Linked DNA regions of Kluyveromyces lactis. The protein of the gene in region 1 purifies or fractionates together with the protein of each later gene. This does not show direct contact. Links are inferred from orthologs where the notes say so. Each region holds a gene or a part of one and is shown on either strand. Other genes may lie near its edges.

Evidence for each region. Proteins that work in one complex are often made in the same cells at the same time.
Region 2: the proteins of SIS1 (region 1) and GPM1 purify together in Saccharomyces cerevisiae (affinity purification with mass spectrometry; 3 studies listed by BioGRID). This does not show direct contact. The link is inferred for Kluyveromyces lactis from reciprocal best matches to the Saccharomyces cerevisiae genes SIS1 and GPM1.

Annotation. Positions count from the first base shown.
Region 1 is NC_006040.1:411,077-414,214, forward strand, and holds SIS1 (type II HSP40 co-chaperone SIS1), read right to left. Parts: upstream 1,604-3,138; coding exon 539-1,603; downstream 1-538. Other genes in the region: TOR complex subunit LST8, read left to right, coding at 2,286-3,138. UniProt on the Saccharomyces cerevisiae protein: Required for nuclear migration during mitosis. It is required for the normal initiation of translation. Might mediate the dissociation of a specific protein complex of the translation machinery. Essential for viability.
Region 2 is NC_006041.1:1,049,594-1,052,338, forward strand, and holds GPM1 (phosphoglycerate mutase GPM1), read right to left. Parts: upstream 1,265-2,745; coding exon 521-1,264; downstream 1-520. Other genes in the region: GTPase-activating protein GYP6, read left to right, coding at 1-403. UniProt on the Saccharomyces cerevisiae protein: Interconversion of 3- and 2-phosphoglycerate with 2,3-bisphosphoglycerate as the primer of the reaction. Can also catalyze the reaction of EC 5.4.2.4 (synthase), but with a reduced activity.

The DNA of each region.
Region 1 (3,138 bases):
GCAGATTGGTATGTCTTTTATTTGCATGATGTCATTTGCTCAATAAAAAGGTAAATGAAGGTTAAAATCTATGCAAATGGTTACATTGTGAACAGAAGTCGAGGTGTCACAATGAAACGTCCCGTTTCTTACTTTACCAGTATTAACAATCATTGAATAATTCTCCTTGTATTCTCTCGCATATTATATTGCGTCCTCAACTTATGTTGCGTGCTTCATTTACCGAAGGATATTTTTTTGAAAATAGTGTACAGTGTGGTCAGAAAGTTAACGCATTAATCGACAGACAATGTAGCCATACGATAAGATTGCTTCTGCTGAAGTGAATGTGAATGGAACATTTGAATTGGAAATAATTAATGGGAGTAAACATTTAAAGAAATGAAAACATATGACATAGAACCATAATGGTGGGAAGATAATATTTCTGGCAGACGTTGAATTGTAAACATGATCACCGTCAGAAGTCTAAATTTGCAATCGTCATGTCATACTTTTATGATTTATTTTCGTTATAAAGACATTCTTCATCTTTCATTCAGAAGTTATCCATAATGGCTTGTCTTTGTTGAGGTGTTAAAGAGGTTGGATAATCGATCTTGAACTTAATAATCAAATCACCTCTTTGGGAAGGATTCTTTGACAGTGTCATACCTTGTCCGGGATATGTTGAGGTTTGAGTAGGTTGAATTGGCTGCGTTCTTGTGATTGGAATTGTTTTACCGTCGATGGTTTGTACTTGCTTGGAGAAACCTAGAAGAGATTCTTTGAAAGAAAGTGGTAAAGTGTAAATCAAATCATTGTCTTGTCTGGTGAAAAATTCGTGTGGTTTTTCCTGTAGAACGAATTGTAATGTTTGTCTACCACCAGTTCTTGGATTATAGTCACCTTCACCTTTGAAAGTAATCTTGGTACCTGCTTTCCAACCTGGTTTCAATTGGATGTCAATTTGGTTCTTTTCGGACACACCACCGGCGCCTTTTCTTGTGATCTTGAATGATTTCTTCTTACCGCTGAATAAATCTTCTAAGGACACAGGTAGATTGACCTGAACAACTTCTTCTTCAGGTCTAGCCTGTTGTCTACTGAATCCACCTGGCATTCCACCTGGCATTCCACCTGGCATACCGCCTGGCATGCCGCCCGAAGAGGAATGGAAACTACTGCCTCCAAACCCGAAATCATCACCAGACCCGCCGCTAGCAGAGAATCCAAATGGAGAAGCACCTCCGGCAGCACCTCCTCCACCAAAGAACTGTGAAAAGATGTTGAAAGCGTCATCTTGTGAGAACGCATGTCCCCCGGCAAACCCACCAGAAGAAAATCCTCCAGGCCCACCAGGCCCACCAGGCCCTCCCGCTCCTCCAAATTGAGGAGCATTACCACGAGCAGCCTCTAGACCATAAGTATCGTAAACTTCCCTCTTCTGAGCATCTGAAAGAATCTCAAAAGCCTCAGAGATTTCTTTAAACTTCTCAGTGTCACCTGTAGGCTTATCTGGATGATACTTCAAGGCAGCCTTTCTGTACCCTTTTTTAATCTCGGCTTCACCTGCACTAGGCGAAATTCCTAGCAAATCATATAATTTAGTGTCCTTAACCATACTCCTACGACGTTTCAAATTTGGTAATTGTCCTTTTGTATATATGTCGAATGATAGTTCAAATTAGCTCTATCTAAACTAGAAGAATTAGAGTAAACTAAAAGAATCAGTTAATGTTTACACTGTTTCGAGATACCAATGGGACAAAAGATGCAATAAAACTCTTCTCTAAACATGTCGATCGAATACCAACGACCAATAATCTTTGAACGAAAAACATCCTGTTCTTTGAAAACCTTTATATAACATTTCATTCCTATATATTCAGGTTCAGTTCTGTTGCAACCGATCATGTTCTTTCAGAGTATACCCTGGAACCTTCTAGAAGTAAAAAAACATGAATGCTTTAAGCACGCGAGATTCATGTGACAATCACGTGATATAGAAGTTTCCCACCAATACAAATCTGTCATCACAAAGCCGCAAATCAGGTGTCATTCAATGACATTAGCCACTACACAATCTTGTGGCTATCTCTATGCCTCCACTTTTGTTTCAATTGCTGTTGTTTATATCTCAATCATGAATATTGACAAATTATGGTTTAATGTGATAAAGAATATGCAATATACTAGATGAAAGAAAGTCTTAAGGAATCTGAGGAGTTTTCAAGGCTTTTTCTCCCCTGTGAACAAGGTAGAGGTTTCTTATTGTGTACGGTCAGACTAACTTCAATATTGCCATGTCTGTTATTCTAGCGAGTGCTGGATACGACCACACAATTAGGTTCTGGGAAGCTTTGACTGGAGTCTGTTCACGAACCATTCAACATGCAGATTCCCAAGTGAATCGATTAGAGATTACGTCCGATAAGAAATATTTGGCTGCTGCTGGTCATTTACACGTCCGTCTTTATGATATACGGTCGAATAATCCAAATCCGGTGTCCTCTTTCGAAGGCCATAAAGGGAACGTAACGTCGATTGCATTTCAACAGGAAAATCGATGGATGGTATCGTCTAGTGAAGATGGGACTATTAAGGTTTGGGATGTACGGTCCCCATCTGTGCAAAGGAATTACAAGCATAATGCACCTGTCAATGAAGTAGCGATACATCCGAACCAAGGGGAATTGATTTCCTGCGATCAGGATGGGAATATCAGGATTTGGGATCTTGGTGAAAACCAGTGCACAAACCAGCTGACACCAGAAGATAACACGCCATTACAGTCGTTGTCCGTTGCAAGCGACGGATCGATGCTTGTTGCAGGAAATAACAAAGGGAACTGTTATGTATGGAAGATGCCTCATCACACGGATGCTTCCACTTTGGAGCCCGTAACTAAATTCAAATCGCATACTAAATATATTACCAGGGTCCTACTATCGGCGGATGTAAAACATTTAGCAACATGTTCAGCAGACCATACAGCTAGAGTATGGAATATAGAGGATAATTTTGAACTTGAAACCACTTTAGATGGTCATCAGAGATGGGTGTGGGATTGTGCGTTTTCAGCAGACAGTGCATACCTAGTCACAGCATGCTCTGATCATTATGTAAGATTATGGGACCTTTCCACAAGTGAAATTG
Region 2 (2,745 bases), on another chromosome or scaffold:
TGACCAGTATCTGCCCATATGGTATGAATTGTTCGATATTGAAAATAAGGGTAAATTCATTGCATGTGTGACAATAGTGATGTTAATGTGCATTGTACCGCAGTTGACAGAGGCGCAAGACGAAAGCGAGTGTTTGTATTTGTTATTGAACTATCCAAAACTATGCGTACCGATTGAAAAAGTTGTGGGATGGGCAAAGATCATGTACGATTATCGTGCTGTTAATACCATAGATTCACAGCATGCAGATTCAGATGCAGATGCAAATGCATCGCCGCTCGAAGAAGAAATTCTACAAGGTAGTAACGGTGAATGGTACAAAAAATACAAAGATTATGACGTAAATAGACTGCGGATGGAGATGAGGTTGAAACGACGTGCAAAATGGCGATTATCCAAGTGAAAAATGCTTGACATGCAGGTTTTCCTTGTTAACTTTTTTGTCTTTAAAATTTATTTTATTTCATTGTCTTAAACATAATAATCTATACTAAAAATAAGAAAGGGAACATTATTTCATCTATTTCTTACCTTGAGCAGCGACTGCGGCAGCACCTGCAGCAGCAGCTTCTGGGTCCAAGTAGTAAGAAGGCTTGGTTGGCTTCAAGTTTTCGTCCAAATCGAACACCAATGGGATACCGGTTGGAATGTTCAACTTAGCAATGTCAGCATCGGAGATGTGTTCCAAATGCTTGACCAAAGCTCTCAAAGAGTTACCGTGGGCGGTGATCATGACGGTCTTACCTTGTAGCAACTCGGAAGAGATGCTGTCTTGCCAGTATGGCAACAATCTGTCAATGACTAGAGCCAAGGATTCGGTCTTTGGCAAGACACTTGGGTCAACGTCACCGTAACGTGGGTCGTTGCTTTGAGAGAATGGAGAGTCGTCTTCGATAACTGGAGGTGGGATATCGAAGGATCTTCTCCAGGTGGTGAATTGTTCTTCACCGTATTGTTCCAAAGTGGCAGCCTTGTCCTTACCTTGTAGAGCACCGTAGTGTCTTTCGTTCAATCTCCAGGATCTAACGACAGGAATCCACAATCTGTCAGCTTTTTCCAAAGCAATGTTAGCGGTTTGGATAGCTCTGGTCAATTTGGAAGTGAAAAGGATATCTGGATTAACGTTGTTTTCCTTCAACAATTCACCAGCTCTGGCAGCTTCTTGTTCACCCTTGGCGGACAACTTAACATCGACCCAACCGGTGAATAAGTTCTTTTCGTTCCATTCGGATTGACCGTGTCTGACTAAAACTAACTTTGGCATATTATATTATTTTTTTTTGGTGTTGATTGGTTATTGGGATTACAGTAATTATTATTATTATTATTATAGCAGTATTAGAATTAATGTCAAAGAAGCCTTTATAAGTTCTAGTAATGCGATCCTTTTATAAGTCAAATCAGTTTAGAAAAAAAGTGGACGATGGGTGATGTTCATGGTGATGGTGAGGTACGCTGACCTGCTGAGTAGCTGCTGAGTAGCTGCTGAGCAGCTACTGAAGCAGGTGCTGTGGCAGATGTCGAGCAGCTCCTGTTCAACTACTGGCACACAACCGGGGGACACGAACATGTGATGGGAATGGTTACAGGAATCCCGGGGCGGGAAGCCACTGTTTCTTCGAACGAGAAATGAGAAGCCAGAAAAAAAAGTGGATGCTCCGGGAACCATACCGAAAAAGGTGGAAAGAACCAAAAAAAAAAAAAAACACATATGTTACCCGGATGCAATATGTTGCATCCGGGTAACATATGCGGTTTCCACTCACGTGCTATGGATATTTGCTTCCATCACGACTTTCATTTTCTTTTGACGAACTGCCGATCGCGGAAGTGCTATTCCCTACTTCTCGTCTATGAAGAAGTTAATAAAACAAACAGGCAAACCGATACTGGACATTTGTTTCAACCCTTAAGGTTTTAAGTCCGTACTTGCTTCTCCAATAACCTTCCGTTTTTCGAGTCGGCTTTTGCAGTTAAGTATCCCTCCATTTAAGTTTATTTGCCACTAACATATGCTCCTCCCCGCTAATTAAGGGTACTTCCTAGAAATCCCTGCACGGCACGGACACGGCTTAGCCAACTTTTTTTTGTGCTACTGCGTTTTGTTGTCGTTACTTCCCCCCTCGCAACAATTAATTCGGAAGTTGGATGAAAACTGAGGTTAACAAATAAGAAAGAGAGGGGCCACAAGAATCCTTACGCCGACGACAAAACAGCCGACTGATCACACTTTTCACCCTAGAAGTGAATCCACCCAGCCATCTATAGTACGGAGTAGTGAATTTGCTTTACGTCTATAGTCTTTTCGCTCCAGGAGAAACCCTTAGGACACTCCCAAGTGGGTATTTCGGATTCTCCAATTCTATGCGTGATCACATCAAATCCCCTTAAAAAAAAAAAATGGAACTTCTCTCAGAACACCAGTGAGAACAGACCAGCCGCCTCGACGGCGGCTAGTCGTTTGGAAAAATTACACAATCCTCTGTACCGGTTATCGCCAGGCTTGTTCTGATGTCCCACTTAATACTTAGCTTATTCAGCCGTTTCAACTCCGGCCTTATCTATGAACCCTTCATCCTTGACATCTGACATCTGACATCTGACATCCAATGGTACCAGGACAATGGTGATACTTTTCTCTTCGTTTCCAAATCGACGTTCCCCGCATTTTCTCAGCCGTGGCACCACCACGCAATCTCATCTTTATTTTTGTACAGCCGGTCCGCTATTCTATTTACAATTTAC